3 linked regions of the Drosophila melanogaster genome follow. The protein of the gene in region 1 interacts with the protein of each later gene in a pairwise test. Each region holds a gene or a part of one and is shown in the gene's direction. Other genes may lie near its edges.

The links.
Region 2: the proteins of CG14380 (region 1) and Veneno interact in a two-hybrid assay, tested with the Drosophila melanogaster proteins (one large-scale study listed by BioGRID).
Region 3: the proteins of CG14380 (region 1) and Art1 interact in a two-hybrid assay, tested with the Drosophila melanogaster proteins (one large-scale study listed by BioGRID).

Annotation. Positions count from the first base shown.
Region 1 is NT_033777.3:13,186,299-13,191,294, forward strand, and holds CG14380 (uncharacterized protein), read left to right. Parts: upstream 1-2,220; 5' UTR 2,221-2,291; coding exon 2,292-2,342; intron 2,343-2,408; coding exon 2,409-2,588; intron 2,589-2,652; coding exon 2,653-2,928; 3' UTR 2,929-3,270; downstream 3,271-4,996. Other genes in the region: CG8508 (uncharacterized protein), read right to left, coding at 1-170.
Region 2 is NT_033777.3:8,358,543-8,365,314, reverse strand, and holds Veneno (veneno), read left to right. Parts: upstream 1-2,760; 5' UTR 2,761-2,840; coding exon 2,841-2,876; intron 2,877-2,933; coding exon 2,934-3,407; intron 3,408-3,633; coding exon 3,634-4,515; intron 4,516-4,572; coding exon 4,573-4,751; intron 4,752-4,808; coding exon 4,809-5,014; intron 5,015-5,068; coding exon 5,069-5,220; 3' UTR 5,221-5,357; downstream 5,358-6,772. Other genes in the region: CG45263 (uncharacterized protein), read left to right, coding at 1-224; stck (steamer duck), read right to left, coding at 5,589-5,785, 5,850-6,108, 6,165-6,306, 6,361-6,666, 6,725-6,772.
Region 3 is NT_033777.3:10,785,066-10,791,068, reverse strand, and holds Art1 (arginine methyltransferase 1), read left to right. Parts: upstream 1-2,842; 5' UTR 2,843-2,954; coding exon 2,955-2,957; intron 2,958-3,020; coding exon 3,021-3,296; intron 3,297-3,364; coding exon 3,365-3,594; intron 3,595-3,681; coding exon 3,682-4,303; 3' UTR 4,304-4,588; downstream 4,589-6,003. Other genes in the region: Mcm5 (minichromosome maintenance 5), read right to left, coding at 28-144, 208-1,029, 1,088-2,198, 2,253-2,404; Rbp1 (RNA-binding protein 1), read right to left, coding at 5,549-5,666.

The DNA of each region.
Region 1 (4,996 bases):
GGCTTACCAGCCTCCACATAAACTTGCACTTTATCCAGTGCATTGGCTATGAAATCATCGTTTGATAGCTCATTCCGCTCCTGCTGGCTTTCGTCCTCTATTTCCTGTGCCAGCAACTGCTGAAGCTTGATCATTTGCTCCTTGGTCAGATTGAGATCCTTTAGACTCATCGTTGCCCTGTACGGATTTAGGGATAATATATATTAGTAATGTACACAAAAAAAATATGATGATATTCGGAGTGATAATAATAAGATTGCGATAATGACTAGAAAATAAAGATCACTAGATATGGAAGCTGTGTATAAAAGTTTAGTTATCATAATTTCCTTTTGATTTTATAAAGATACTGTATGTCTTGGTTGCCCAAAATTACCAAAAACCCTATTGTATCTCATTAAGTATATAATATTTAAGAATTTTTGGCGAACATACATGTCAAACTAGTTTGCCAGTGCACTGGTTTCAAGATATGAATTGCTCTTCTGGGCTTCTATTCTATTGTTTGGAGAACGTACTTAAATTCAATTATTGTTTAAACACATCGAGAGACTTACCATCGTAATCTGAGACAAACAGTTGCTGATTGCCCTGAGGGCAGGGGTACAATTAAACAGCCTTGTCCGCACATTACCGCTCACGTTTTATGGCTGCCGTTTAAAAATATTGAAAAAAGCAGGGCAGGCACGAAATTGAAATGCCTGCCAGCGGGCGCAGCTTTATTGGCACCCGTCGACCAGGAGCCGGGGCATTATCCTGCAGATGGCTGCGGTCACTGGACATTAGGCGCTGGAGGACAACCGGTGTCCGTCGACAAGGCCAGGATCATGGCAGAACGGATACGGGCATTGTACATGAGATGGCGTCATTAAATACACATTACCCTGCCGGCGCAGGACGAACTCAGGAGCAGGAGCAGGAGTAGGCGACGGTGGAGTGGAGGCAGTCCGGCGATAAAGGCACAACAACCGCCGAGCAACAGTCGGCCAGCAGGAGAATGGCTATTAAAAAGCAGCCCGGGCCGAAGATAGACATGGTCGGCTACAGTGGCAGACATAACAAATTACACCATTTCGACAGGCGGTTCACAACAGGAAGGCAGTGCTGTTGAAATAGACTTTCCTTAGCTATTAGCTAAGAATATCAAGGATATTATGTATAGAGATTAGAAGCCAAATATATTTGTAAGACATTTACCATATCCATAAAACTGAATTTTAACAAAATAATTATAATATTCTCACGTTTCTTTATTTGCTCTAAAAATTCTGATTATGTCTTTAACAATTATTGATCAATTTTAATAAGACAATCGATCCTTGCATTCAGCTAGATAACCAAAGCTTTCTTCATTTTATATATACTCGAGATTCCCTTTGAAATAGCTATTTATTCTTATCTGCAATCGCCAGCACTGGATTGACACTATGGCCGGTGGTTCGATGGTTGGTGTTCAGTTTCAATTGTGCTGGCAAACGTGACTCCAAATTGGCTGCCGGCGAATAATTCATACGAAACACTTTCGCACCGTGCGCCTTGCCATTAGCATCGTACCACTGCCCCCACCGTCGGATGACCACCCACCTCCCACCACCCACTGGCACCCAAAGCGCCCACTTCGAACCACAGGGTAGCCCATGCCATGCCCCACGTAACCCCACGATTGCATTTACAGCAAATTATTTATGGCTGCGACAGACACGGAACAGGAAGCGAGTATGCGCTGCCAACTTCACGTCCATCAATATTTTATGAAACCCTGTCTGCAGAACGCTCCGCGCTGCTCTCAGCCGCCGGAATGGATGGGTTGGAGTCCTCGGAACAGGACGAGGGTATCTGCTTACATGGCTGCCTTGTGCCTTCTGCCGGCTGCCTGGCTGTCGATATCCGGTAGATGAGTATCTAAATTGCCTTTACTGTTGATGAATTAGCGCCGGCTGCCTGCCGCTCCCATTTGTGTGGAATGGGTGGCATTGCAAGTGCCTGCGTGGCGCAGATAAGCTTCCACGATGGGTGCAAATTTCAATTTGTTCTCGATGATTTTGCGCTCATCAAATAGGCCGGCAATCTAGGAAGACGGGAACACGACCTTGTTCGAAAGGATATGAAGTGAGAACAGAGCTACAACAGCAGGGGATTGGCAATTCACCAAACGGATGCACCTAAAATTACTCCATCATTCCTGTTGGAATAATACACATTAAAAATGAGTAGTAGAAAATGACTTATCAATCCTTGAGTTAAACATCAGTAACTGTTGCAGTATTTTTAAATTACCAGTTACGTCCATTATGTTACTCTCCCGCAAGGAAATCGTATCGTTATTGCTATTCCTCACGGCGGTTAGTTGCACCTGACTGCCATCTAATATCTGACCTTGTGACTCACCCCAGTCATCTGCTCCGCAGATCATTTCCGTGCTGAACGCGTCGGTGTTTGGGAACGTCCTGCCCCTCCACGTCAGTTATGAGCAGCTGGGCCATCAAGTGGTCTGCGTGGGAACTGCCTACATTTGCCTGATTTACGCCATGAGCACCTGGTTATACCACTCGAATTATTCCAGGACCCGTCTGCACATGCGATTGGTGGTGGGTGGTCGGCCAAATGGAGGTGAAGTCTAATTTCGAACATTTAAATATCCCATTTTTGCAGCTGGTGGCCATGATTTTGATTATGATACTGTTTAACTGCGCTTCTACCTACTACTTCCTAACCGGCGTTTCATTTTCAAAGCTAGGAGATTCCATGGAACTAATTTTCCTCTTTAGCAGCTTTGCAATGGCCTCCAAATCGGTCAGTTTGAGCATGTCGGCCATCAGCGTGGTGATCCTGATCGTGATCATGGTGTTACTCATTGTGACAATCATTCAGTCCCATAGAAGACACAAACGGGACAGAATGCGTTACCTCGAGTCGCAAAAGCAATAAACTCATCCTCATTCCCGTGGGAGTGCACATTAAGTTTGGTTTTTATGCAACGCCAAACATTTCATGTCGCTGCAATGTGGCGCCGTAGCTGCAATAATATAAATATTGCACTCGTACCTCGTTTGGCACAGACAGACACGAACTGCTCACCTCCTTTATTTTTTCACTCATGACACACCGATTCTGTGTGTGTGCTTTCTTCGCAGGTGATATGAAAAACATATACGAGTGTAAGAGAATCTCTGTTATTGTTTATCCAAGTCGCAGTGGGCATGCCCTGCCTTGAGAATAATTATACAATATATTTTTGTAATTCTATGTAATAAATGTTAGTTAATAGGGTTGAAGTTTGAAATTTTCTTTCTTTCCAAGATTTTTACTCATTCTGGGTCTTAATAATTTGGCATTACATACATTTTCGGTACCTTTTTTTCTCGATTATGAAAATGCCATCAGTGTATGCAGTGTATGTGTGAGTGCTTGGGCACCATCAGGGCCCAAAAAAATACCATTCTGGCCAGGATAAGTCTGAACAGTGCAACTCATAAGGGAGACAAGCAGCCTCTTCACATCGGCTTGTGTACCATTGCATTTTGCATAATGAAGCCGGCAGACAGTGCACTTTCGAGCATCAGACAAACGAAGTTAGGTACGAACTTAAAGGCTTGCCAAGCTGGAAAAGTTAAAGTTAGCTTTTTGGCACAAGTAGTGAGAAGGGGTTGGTAATTTGGGTAGGGGTTTTTAGGAGCGTTGTAGTAGCCTAATTACGCTCCAATGGCTGCCCATCAAAAGTGACAGTTGGCAAGGCAGGGGCTTACAATAAAATTTCAAGTTAAGTTATTGCCGCGCCGCTGGCGAGAGCTACGCGAATACTCAGTTGAAAGTAATTCCAAATTTAATTGCGCACAATTTAGAATGGCGAGATGTTGGCGTGCGTTTAATTAACTGAAAAATAACATAAAAAGCAAAACGAAAACAAAGCCCAATGACAGCCGCGGCGCCAGTGGAAATGCTTAATGTTAAATGCCAACTAATTAAATTTCGGGCATGCCAACGAAGTTGACTGGAGTTGAACTGCCGAATTTATTGTTGCATTTAATGGCCAGCGCAGGCGGTTATCCTTGTGCCATCGCTCGGCTTTACCACTTTTTATTGCGTATACGCTGGGGCACCCCCATTACGTATACGCAGTGTATTACGCCCCTCCACTCACAGCAGGCAAATGGACAGGCTAAAGGATTCGCTTTGTGGACAGGGATATAGGATGCCAAATGACGCAGAACCACTGGCATTGCGATTGTAATTCCGATTGGGCAAACGTCAGTTTCTCTGCGGTCCGTCGCCAAATGAAGCCAATAAAATGTCCTTGTTCGCACGCAAACGTGCGAAAGTGATTCATGTAAACTGATAAAAATTTAATCATATTTCACGTATTAACACGTAATTATTAATGCCTGATAAATGTCGGCAGTTGTGTAATATGTGAAAAAGTCGCTATTAATATGCATTATTTTCCGCTAGTTGTTATTTCACTGGGTAAGTAAAAAGCGCACGGTGTGTCCACAAGCTTCGGAAATACTTTGCTACGCATTACCATATAATTATAGTACTTTAAAAATATTTTATAGATGGTCTTAAAAACTTAAATTTCATTATATTTTACCACGCAACACTCCCGCTTGTTTTTTATTCAGAACAAGAACAGGTTATTTTACACCACTGCGTAATAGTTCTTTATTTAATTCTGTTCGAGTGTGTAATTTCGCTATGAAACTTCACTTTTATTATTATTGTCATTGTTATGTGTGCGAACGCCTGTCGGCGGGTTTATTTGGACCGTCCCGCGCTTTATTTTCTTTTAATTATGTACTCAGCTCACAAATGTGGGTCAATTAACAAGCAGTCGATGGTCCCCATCGATGTCGAAAAATCGGGATTAAACAATGCCGCAGACGTGCTGCCAGGACAATGCAAACAATTGTCAGAATTTAAATGCAGCGGCAACGGACCGCGAAGTTTCCACTCACTATCCGGTTCAATTTTCGCATAAATTATGCCGCCATATGTC
Region 2 (6,772 bases), 4.8 Mb from region 1:
TTGTGCAGCATCTGAGAAAGCCCTCTCACAAGCAGAAACGAGCGCCAAGGCCACCGCCCAAGCCGCAATCCCGCTCCCAAGTGGCCATTGCCCATGTGACACCCCTCCGCAAAGCCCTGATCTTTCCGAAGCGATCCAAGTCGTCCAGCGAACTACTACTCGACGATCTGAGCGTGCAGGCGCGTAAGTATCAGCGAAGGATAGAGCAGGGATCAGCGCTGTAGACAGGAACAATGGGCACCCAGTTATGCACCTGTTTCTCACCTGTTGACCAGTTATTTGGCCTCATCTAGATATTAAATCGATTTCTTTCGCATTTCCGTTTACCCCAGAGGCGACGCTTTTGTAGAATAAGTGTGATCCCCAAACCAATACGAAAACGACCCGACCCCTACCTTCGATTCCGATCAAGACCCTCTAACCGAACCCGAATCCGATGTAGATGTGGAACAAGTGCAGCTATCCCGCCGCCATAATGGAAGACAAAGATACGACCCGAAGCAAGCCCAAAGAGAATTAAGCCATACGAGGAATAGCACCCAAAAGAACTAAACTAATTTCGTAATTTACGCATAGTTACATTAAGCCAATTACTCGAAACTGCATGAAAATCAAATCAAAAGATGACTAACCATATTTATAAATACAACCATATATAAATATACATAAACATTATTGTACAAATAGGATCGAAGATGTACCGAGAGCTATGGTTAGATATGGAAATAAAAATCAAACGACAATTCATGCTCTCAACCTAGTTATTTACGAGTACAAGTTTGTCTCTTCAATTATAATTTGAATTCATCTAAAGAATATACCATACAAGCCCGATATACATCTATACATTATACGGATATTTATAGCATATACCTGCGTCACTTGTTGTAACTTTTAGGATAATTGCAAGTCAAAGCAAAAGTAAACCAATTACAAAAGGAAACATTACTAACTCTTACCTGCATGCAATAAAGAATTTCAAAATGCAAAACTGAATAGTGTACTTTCTGGGTTAGGGATATATTAAGCATAACTGATTTTCTTACAGTCACTGTTCGTAATTTCATCTAAGAAGGAAGACAATGCTGGAAAAGGAATTCGGGAACGGTATTTAGTAAAAAAAAAAGCAGTCAGAACGCATACCAAACTTACAGACACCTAAGGCCTCACAGTATAGGGAAACAACTCTCAAAATCGTCCCATGGCACTTCATTTGGCAACAAAGTGATAGCCAAAGTGGTAGCGGTCGCTGTCCTGATCTTTATCCGATGTATGAAGAGCCTTGGAATGTGCAAAACAAATCGCTGTGGGCCCACCTTGGCATTAAAAGAAGCTGCCTAAGTCACTAATAAGGCTGCTTATATCTGTTACCTTGACCGCGATCAGAGATCATTGGCCCAAATCGGCAATCTGCAACTTATCACTGTCCCGTTTCATGACGCAACGCGTGTTTTCGGAGCTGTCCCGCCCGTGTAAAAGGTTTTTCGCACACTTGGCAGCGGTGCAGGCGTTCGCCGGTATGGATCCGCTCGTGAATCTTGAGGACTCCCAGTTGGGCGAAACGTTTGTCACGATGCTGGCAGGCGTAGGGTCTTTCGCCAGTGTTTGTGCGGAGATGCAGCTCGAGCATGTAGACCCTGGAGAAACTGCGCTGATAGACGTTGCAAAGATGCGGACGTTCCTCCGTGTGCCTGTTAACTATGTGGCGTCGCTGATTCTACAAAACCACGCCCGCAGTGCAGGCACTTGTGCTGCAAGACCTGCTTATGGCGCCTCTGATGAACCTCCAATGCTCCATTGGTCCTGAAGGCCTTGGCGCACTGATCGCAGGTGAAGGGCCATTCGTCGGTGTGCAGGCGAATGTGGCTTGCCAGACTAGAGGCGGATTGAAGGCACTTACCGCACTCCAGGCACTTGTGCCCACGTTTGGGTGTCTTGGCATAGGAGCAATTGTGGACCTGGTAGCAACCCAATTTCGTAAAGATCCGCCTGCGCTCCCTACAGTCTATAATAGTTATTGAAGCATGTACTTCTTGGATGTGCCGACGCAGTACTTCCGATAGCTGGAAACCAGCGCCACAATGCTGGCAGTTCCAGCGTGAAACTCCAATAGGTTCATTTTCGGGATCCTCCACAGCGGAGAGCTGTTCAATATAGTCGCTGGGATCAATAATAATTATTTCCTCCGAAGCTAGGGGTTCTGCCGTGTCTATGTTTATCTCCGGAGCCATATCGCGCAACTTCTCCGACTCCACGCATATTTTGCGAAACTTGGCGGCGATGAGAAGCTCGTTGGTGCACTCCTGGCATAAATACATTGGCTGCAAGGTACACAGGTCCACTTGCATCTCCTCCACGATCTCATAGATATCCACCAGAAGTTCATCCTGTTTAAGACAAACTCGGCAACGGAATTCACCAGATGGTGGCGACATTTTCAGTTAAAAGCTTGCAAATATTTAAAAATTGAACTGCCAAATCAAATGCAGCTACCCACAATTATCGATAAGACCGATAAGCAACAAACAGCTGATTATACTAAACTACACTTTAAAGTATGTCTCATATATTAAGAGCTAACTACTTCCAAACTATAAGATAATAATTAATTATGAATATAAATATATGAATATATTTAATACTAACAGCCAACAAATATTTGTCAGTTTAACGTGTTATAAATAAATAAGTGGGAAAACGGCATTTCATTACTAATGTGCACTTCTAAGTTCCGTTAATCGGATTTCCGTATCTGGTAACACCGTGGGGCTTCAGCTGTATCATTGGAGAACTAACGCTGAAAAACTCTTCCTTTTCGATCGGAAATAAAGTGTGACAACATGCTAGCACAAAAGTCAGTTGCCGGTGCTGATGAAGTAAGAACCAACTTTTAAAAAAGTAGCCGAACACCAAAATATTGTTTTGTAATTCAGCTTGCGCAAGCCAAAGGAAAATGCGTCCATTGCGCAAACGCAGCGGAAAGGGTCTGTCAGCGCTGCGGGGACTTTTACTGCTCCAAGCATTGTCAGCGGCAAGATTGGCTACGTCATCGTTACATCTGCATCCCGCTGCCCGCGTTGGTTTCTCCCAATGAATATTCCGTGTTCCAGAGCGACAGGGAATCAACTTTGGAGGGGGCCTGTTCGTTAAACGCTGACAAATCTGTAGTTGAGGCGTCGCCAATACCCCTCAGCCGTTCACCTATTCTTCCGGATTTGCAGTGCAATAACGCCGGCCGTTCCAGCATCATTGCAGCCAAAGATGATATTCCCGTTTCTCCGCCAAAAGCGATCATCCCGCCCAGCGGTGCTATGGTATACATTACGGACTTCATATCCAGTAATCGTTGCTATATTCGCGATGCCAGCGAATCTGCTGAAAGAGCGTTTGACGAAGTTTGCAAGAAGGTTTGTTATATATGGAGTCAAATTTCTTCAATCCAAGAAAATTCCTAAATTAGAAGTAAAATGCGTGCATGATAGCAAATTCTATAAATGAATATTATCAAAGAAATAGTGTTGCGTGTAAAACTGTATACTATTTGGATACTTAAATACTAGCAAATCGAGTTTTTTTTTCTAATTCTACTGTTGACGAGACTATTTCGAATTAAAAAGTGTTGTATCTTCACAGGTTAATACCATAGCTACGTTATTGCCCAGAATAAAAAATCCACCACCAAATAGATTGTGCCTAGTCCACTTTAATGGCATGTATGTGCGAGCGAAGATGTGTAAGAAGCTCCGTGAGGTTTCCCACTTATTTTTGGTCGATCTTGGAATCAAACATTCTGGACCTTTTTTCGATTTTAAGGATATCAATGATGAGTTAAAAGCATTGCCCTGTTCCAGCCAACTGGTGCAGCTCAAGAATGTATTGAATTGTGACTATTCCAATGATGTCATTGCCTTCAACTCGAAATTCGTGGGCAAGAAATATATGGCAACCATTAAAAAGTGCCCTGGATTACACCTCGTGGAACTAGTAAACACGGAGATGAACTTTTCGGTAAATGAACAGTTAAACGCATTTTTCAACAGTAAGAAGTTGCTACGAAACCCTAATTCTGCGGCCGAGAATATCAAGTCATGTTCCTTAGAAGGTCCGCAACCTTCACATATTGATCAACCCATTGCAATTCCTGCAATCGAATGTAAGAAAATGTTAACGAAACCAGAGGTACAGAATGAGTGTGAGGAGATACTCAAGCAACAGAACTCCGGACAAATTGATCAATCAAAATCAACTAATGTACTGGTTACAGAAGGAGCCTCTAATAAGATGCTTGGCTTTATTGATCTTGCTGATAAGGCAACTAAAACTGATCAGGACACTGCACCAAAGCCTAAAGATGAAGACGTAAAACATTCCTTAACACAATGCTTAACACCAAAAGCTAATTATCCGTTACAACTTCCAAACCATAAAAAAAATTTGGAACTTCCCGTTATCCATAAAACTAATGCCCAAACAAATGGAATCGTAATGTCGAAAAACGAACATGTCCTAAAACCTGTGAGTTGATAATATAAATTCTCATTGAGAGCCACATTTTATTAATTTATTTATTAGCCTTTTGAGATGCGTAGATTTTCAATCGAATCTAAGGAAGGCATTGATCTCATCGTTGTGGATAGTACAAAAAAAAATCGAGGTATTTTTGGGGCCTTTGACAGCACCTACGCCTCCGAATTTTCCGCCTTGCACTCTCGTTTATCAGAAATTACAGACTGCGAGCCTTATAAGCCAGTGTAACTATACTATAACCATACCAATGTAAGTTTATATTTAATTAACATTTTTGACAGTGTCAGGGAATATGTGCTTGCCAGATTTGAGGGTTCCTGGTATCGTGGCAAAGTGGAACAGATTATAGTTGTTCCACGGCAGCAGACAAAGTACCGGGTAATGTACCTCGATTACACGAATGTAGAGGACATAACCGAAATGGATATCCGTCGCTATCCATTAGACTTCACCGCTCCCTGTGCCACAAACCTTTGCGTGATTGACGGTATGGATATTAAACATTTGTCTTGAGCATAACATTTGAACAAACACTTTATAGAATTCCCGCACAACCCGAATGCAGCACAGGTTTCCTATCTGGCTGAGGTTTTGAAGGTCCATCAGTCAGTTCATATTGATAGTATCAAATATATCAACCATATAGCCGTAATTAAATCGGGAAGTCTTATTCAGAAGCTGTTGAGCTTGTAAATTTTAAGTGCATCAAATGCCATTTACTTGACACCACAACTAAATCGGGTCAAACACATTACGAAGTTATTGCGAATAAGCATTACGTTTTATAATTTTAAAAACATTTATATATAAATAAAATTCCATTAAATAACAACGTTAAAGGCTTTTAATACACAATGTTATGTTCCCTAGCTATTGATGCCGTTGATTCTCGATTTAAAATTTAAGTTACACACAACCGGATTACAACAGACGGAAAGGACATGCACAAGAGGTTTTAGTTTGTTTGGTTTTAGTTTCTCAAATGTTAAAAATGGTAGTGAAAGCGGGTCTACAACGACAAAGGCACTGTTTGGTGTGGATCTGAGACTCGCTCCAAGGCATTAGGTGTTCTTTTTCATTGTCATCTCGTGGGCGGTGCGCAGACGTCGTCTGAGTTCGTTTGGAAATCGGTCATAGCACTTTTTGCACACCGGCTTCTCGTCGTACTCGTAGAATTTCGATTTTTGTGTCATCTTCGTGTCGCACACGGAGCACGCAAAGTGGTGCACACACCAGGCCTTGTTCAAGGCAGTGAAAACTGTTGGCATTATGGAATGAGCGCATTAAATAAACCCAGAATATAGTTCAATTAAGTTACTCACCATCGCCTCCAATAACCTGGTTGCAGACGAAGCACAGGTTGCCAAAGAGCTGATGATAGTGCGTCTCGCAGTAGGCCAATCCCCGCTTCTCGTAGTGTCGGTGACCCAAGAAGGGTTTCTCGCACTTGGCGCACACGAAATGTTCCACATGCCAGTGCTTTCCGAGCGCCGTTACCACCCTCTCCTCAATCGGACGACGACAGGCACCACATATGGGAATGCCCATTTTATCGTGACAACGCAGACAATACAGTTCGTTCTATAATGGAATAATAATTCAGTTGCTTCTTATTTGCTAAAGAAAAAAAAACCCACCATATCGTTAGCAGCCAATCCTGGCCGGCTCTTGACCTCCCGAGCAGTGGAATCCAACTCTGTGCCGCAGGCCGTGCAACTGAAGTGATAGCCGTGGTACACTTCGCCCCGGAATCGCAAAGGCTCCTCGTCGATGAGGCCGCTGAAAAGCAGAGTAATTAGCAACATGTTTTCACCTAAAGCCTTTGAAACCTACTGGCATTTTTGGCATACATAGCGGCCGGTAATCTCCGCCTTCACCTTGGCATTGCACTCGTGACACAAGGCGCGGTTCTGGTTCTTGATGAATCCGCAATCAGCCAGCTCCTTGGCGCACAATTGGCAGCGGAAGCACTGTGGATGCCAGCTAGCTGACATGGCCTTGATGACCCGTCCGATGACGAACTCGCCGCACTTGTTGCAGCAGGGAGCGAAGAGCACGTGAAAGTCGCGTTCACAGTACTTACGGCCCTCGAACTCGTAGAATATCCCATCCTGGAAGGGTCGGAAGCACTGGGCACATCTAGAAAATGTTTATTAGTGAGGGTATTAGTGAAACAACTACATTGAGGTTTACTTACACGAAGCACTGGGTGTGCCAGAGTTCTCCATTGGAGTTAACAATCTTC
Region 3 (6,003 bases), 2.4 Mb from region 1:
GACAAGAAATGAAGTGATTAACAGTGTTTAGCAAATTCGATAGAGCATCTTCCGTTGCATCCGGTGCTGCAGCTCTCCACGTCGGATCATGGTATGAATTACCTTCATTACCGTGCGTTCTTCGTATTTCTGACGCAAAAAGTCCTATGAAAAGCAAGCATTATAAATAAAAATTGTTCATTCGATTCATAAGACTTCTGTGCTTACCTGTAAGATATTCTGCTCCGATACTTGAGATCCAATTGCAAAGCGACGTTTCAATTGCTTTTCGATGCGGTTGAGTGTTTCCTGGTCCTCCTCGGTCGTGAATCCTTCGGCTCCAGCCAAGCTGCCAGTCATCGCAGCATCAAGGGTAGACACTTGGAAAAGTCGAAGTGCTTCGTTCACGTGCTCATCTGTGGCGAACGGTTGCAAACGAATCTTTGCCAGCGACTCCGAAATGCGGATGACAGCCTCCAACTGACGCACAGTGATGGGAATGCTTAGCCGCTTGTCAGATGCCTTCTCCTGCTGGCCGGCTCCACTGCGCATAAGCACGTAGCGGCTCTTTAGCTTCTCGCCGGCAGCTTCGCTCAGGCGCGGACCGCAATGAGTTCGGCAGTAGTGAATATACTTCTTGAACGTCGACAGCGATATCTCACCCTCAGCCGGCTCTGAAGGCGCTGACTTGTTAGAGCTCAGATGCACGTTGATGATGTGCTTGGCCAGCGTAATGTCCCGCGACTCATCGTGAATATCCTTTACAATGAAAATCATGTCGAAACGGGAGAGAATTGTGGGCATAAAGTCAATGTTCTCCTCGCCCTTGGTGTCGTCCCATCGACCGAAAATGGAGTTGGCAGCTGCCAAGACCGAACAGCGTGAGTTCAAGGTGGTCGTGATGCCGGCTTTGGCAATGGATATTGTCTGCTGTTCCATGGCCTCGTGAATGGCCACACGATCATCCTCTCGCATTTTGTCGAACTCATCAATACAAACCACGCCTCCATCGGCCAGCACCATGGCTCCACCCTCCATGACAAAGTTACGCTAAAGATTAATGTATCATTTAATTTGTAAGGATTAGGTGTGCAATGTTTTTTCTCACCGTTTGAGGATCCTTCATAACCGAAGCCGTGAGACCAGCCGCACTGGAGCCTTTGCCCGAAGTGTAGACTGCTATGGGTGCCACCTTCTCCACAAACTTTAACAACTGTGACTTGGCAGTACCAGGATCTCCCAGCAGTAAGACGTTAATGTCGCCTCGACGGCACAGACCATCCGGTAAACGCTTACGAGACCCGCCAAAAAGCATACAAGTTATAGCTTTCTTGATATCCCGAGAGCCGAAGATGCTGGGCGCCAGTGACTGTGAGAGACGTTCGTAGATGTCCCCAGAGGCGGCCATTCGCCGGAAGTGCTCCTCCTCATCGGATGTGATGTTGCTGTATCGGGAGATGGCACCCGCACCCTCTGAGTCGACGGTGATGCCCACCACCCTCATGTAAGGAGCACGGACTCCAACGACGGCTTTCTCGCGACCATCCCGACGCGAGGGTTTGCCCACCTTGCGAATGGAGTATATGCCCTGGATAAGCACGCGATTGCCGGGCACCACGCGTTCACAGAGCGAGCGATCGCAGAAGAGCTGCAAGTGGCGGGGAATCTCACCCTGTGGCACAAAGTCGGGGAGCTCTTGCAACTTAAGGGTCTGGAAATCGACGCACTTGCACTTGTCCGGCATGATGAAGAAGGGGTCCAGCGGGCACTTGGGTCTGCCCGCCTGCTCCGTGTTGCACTTCCTGGGTAGGGCGTAGCCCTCCAAACCTGGATTCACTTTGAGATTCGGTATGACCGTGCTGCAGGACAGGCATTGGATAGACATCCGCGTAGCCTTGGCACTTATTCCTGAGGCTGCGACAATGATTCCGGCGATCTTAACCAGCTTGGATACGCAGTCCGACTTCAACTGTCGTATGTTGGTGGGATTCGCATTGGAGCTCAGAAGAATCTGGATGTCGTGCATATGTTCCTCGTGCTCCGGCCGGGGAGCTGTGATCTCGTCGGCTACCTCCCGGGCAGCCTCCTCGAAGATTTCCAAATGCTCCGTCGGCTGCTTGTTCAGCTTGTCAGCCAAGGTCTCATCGAAGCCCACCAAATCCTCCATCTCAATCTCCAAGAAGTAGCGACCATTAAGATAGTTCCTCTTCAGGGTGTCACTGCAGGGGGATTACCTTAAATGGGGTTCAGATGAGGAGATGCAGTTCACTTACCGGTATTTGTAGAAAAAGTTCTCCTCGTTAAATGTCCGGATGAACTCCTTGTACTTCTTCTTTACCGCCTGCAAGTTGATTTGCGCATCCTGCTGGTTATCTCCGCCGAAATTGTCCGAAAAGAACACACCCGCATCGTCGAAGCCTTCCATTTTGATAGGGTAAACAAAGTTAAAAAGAAGAACTGAGGTAATAGACGCTACTTCTGCTTCGCTTTATATTTCGTTTTTTAGTAAATGCGATGTGCGAATATTTTGCCGCCAAAATTACCGGGCAAGCGGTAGCTAGAGATGAGCACTTACCAGTAAAACTATCGGATCTTATTTACAACTATCGATGAAACGTGTTTCCCAGTTTATGTATTTTTGTTAGCAGTGAAATAGGACCAATACAACAAGCATTGCAGCAGTTAATAAACCATGAACGTATTTATTATATCTTATTGATGTTATGACAAAGATTATTTTACTCGATTATATGGAACATGCCTTAGACAACTGACTCCAATTCTTCCCAGCTCAAAAATACTAAAATTTCAGAAAAATCCAATAATATCGAGCTGGCGATATTTGTTTCCAGCTTTTGTGCGGGGGCAGTGTTGATAAGCGACCTTTTAAACTAGCGTGCTGTAGAAACAGTCCCATCATTTAGTCGCCAATTTTTCGACGTGAAAAACCAAAGAGACGCCGAAGAAATTAGAAAATGGTAAGTTTTGGTCAAAATGTGACGGCAATCGACAGGCCAGTAGCTGACGAACCCGATTCGCAGGCCAGCACAGACATTCCCATGGAGGCAGCTGTGGAATCGGCGACCGGCATCACGCCCAATTCAAATGCGAACTCAAACAATGTGGCGAAGAAGCTGCCCGCGGAGGGCTCCACCGGTGATAATCCCAATGCCAACGCCGACGAGATGACGTCCCGCGACTATTACTTTGACTCCTATGCCCATTTCGGGATCCACGAGGAGATGCTCAAGGACGAAGTGCGCACCGTCACATACCGCAACGCCATGTACCACAACAAGCATCTGTTTCAGGGCAAGGTAGGGTTAACTTCCGGGGTTTCCCCATTTTTCGTAGCCCTTCTCACCGGGGTATCTCCTCTTTGCAGACCGTACTGGACGTGGGTTGCGGTACCGGCATTCTCTCCATGTTCGCTGCCAAAGCCGGTGCTGCTCAGGTGATTGCCGTCGACTGCTCCAACATCATTGAGTTTGCCCGCCAAGTGGTCATTGACAACAATCTGCAGGATGTAATCACGGTTGTCAAGGGCAAGATTGAGGAGATTGAGCTTCCAAATGGTATTGAGGGAGTGGACATTATTATTTCCGAGTGGATGGGGTAGGTTTTCATTTGTAGTTAAGCTTTTAAAAAGTGGTCATATTTGATTTAGCATATTAACCATTTTAATTTCTTTCCTTAATTTAGTTACTGCCTGTTCTACGAATCCATGCTGGATACAGTGTTGTACGCTCGGGACAAGTGGCTGAAGAAGGACGGCATGATGTTCCCAGATAGGGGCACGCTGTATATCACGGCCATCGAGGACAGACAGTACAAGGACGAGAAGATCAACTGGTGGGACGATGTCTACGGCTTCGACATGAGCTGCATTCGTAAGGTGGCCGTGACCGAGCCACTGGTCGACGTGGTCGATCCCAAGCAAGTGGTATCCACATCTTGCATGGTCAAGGAGGTGGATCTGTATACCGTGCAAAAGGCCGATCTTAACTTCTCGTCCAAGTTCAGCCTATGCATCAAGCGCAACGACTTCGTGCAGGCATTAGTCACCTACTTTAATATAGAGTTCACCAAGTGCCACAAGCGTCTTGGGTTCAGTACGTCACCAGACTCCACATACACGCATTGGAAGCAAACCGTGTTCTACCTCGATGACCACATGACGGCAAAGAAGAACGAGGAGATCACTGGCACGTTCCAGATGAAGCCCAACGAGCGGAACAACCGTGACCTGGACTTCGTCATCGACATTAATTTCAAGGGCGAATTGTCTCAAATTCAGGAGTCGAACACATACCGCATGCGCTAGGGGCAGCCATAACCAATCCGATCTGCCATTTGGGATGGGGCTCAGAGCCCTGCAGCGAGGATACATACAATGACTAGACGTAAGGTTTATTCCAGTGCGAAATGTGCAACGAATTCGTGTTGCGTCTTCTCCTAAGTTTAAAGTGTACCTTTGTTAGTATACATAATATTTTACACTCGTGCGCCTGTTTAAATTATTATTCGAACATACTTCTAAGCAAGTTGTACAGCAGCACGTCAATTCTCACATAATAAACAGTGCACTAAGCACGTCCCCTTTTGCTGGAAACAAACTGTTTTTGATGATATATGAAACCAATCAAAACTCGCTGATTGTGCGTCTTTATTTTTTAGTAAAAAAAAAAAAGGAATTTCAAGAATGCATCGAAAGATTTATATTGTCATCTGAAGTAAATTTACTTGGATCGCAATCGACATAGGAATTCCTACAGAAAATACGGCCTTGGCCGGCTTGTTCTTTGATGCGACACTGCTTAAACGATATCCTTTTGGAAACATTAATGACGATCCCGAGAATCCGAGCGACTTCGACGATCGCGCGAGAAGCTGCGGCTGCGGGGCGATCGGGAGCGACGTGGCGAACGTGACCTGAAATAAACGCATTGGTAAAGAAGAAATGATTACTTAAAAGCTTAATAAAATTATTTAAATCAGCTTAGAATGGTAAGAAGTGTATGTACATACGCGCCTTACAAAGAGCTGCAAAATAGGAGTGTTAAATACTGCTAAATAGTTACTTAAACTAATTACCAGGGGGAACAAAAATGAAAGCTGTGCAAACTGTTTTGTTTCTATGAATTAAGCTGTGAACCAATTAAGATAAGAGTATTATTGCTAATGCTGCTATTACATTTAGCTGCTGCAATTACATTTACTATCTATTACCAACTGATATCCTATAATTAGAGTTTAAAGCTTTCTACTTTGTCGGATACATATGCAATAAGAAAATGGTCGAACAAATCTATAGTAGCTGTGATCATCAGCGTTAAACGCGTTCAAGGCCAGTTTTCTCGACATCAGAGTCAAGTACTTGAGAAAGCGGACGAACCCTCATATCATAGGCAACTAAATTAAAGAAATAATTGTAAGCAATTATTTGAAGGATACGCAGGATAACTTTAAAAAAGAACTCTTTGGGCGACTGCATTGCTTCTTCTAGGATGAAATCATTTGGGTTGCTAATCAAAACTTCTGTGAGGCTGTGACGCTGAACATGGTTAATTTAGAGTTGCAAGTTGAAGGTTGCTGGCTGTGGCTGTGAAGATGGTTGCTGTTGTAGATTGTTGATGTTGTAGAAGGAAGAAGTAGCAGTGGAAGTAGTTCTAGCCGAAGGAGTTATCCTGAAAAAGTGTCGATAACTCGAATTTAACAACCACTAAATGATTGGATCGTAGATAATATATGTATACAGTTTGTAAGTTTGGTCTAAATAAAGTACCAAGTCAATTTTTAATTAGAAATGTTATGAATAGCGATGTGATGTCAGTTGGACATGAATAAAACAGCCTGCGAAGAAGTACTCATAAAACTGACATTTCGAAGGCTGTTCTATCACGTGCAGAAAAAGGCGGGAAAATGTACATGTTTGCTATTCGCAATTAATGTTTTTTGCGACGATTCCAATGAAATTTCGATAACAAATTTTATACGTTTTGATAAGGATTGATTAATTTTGAC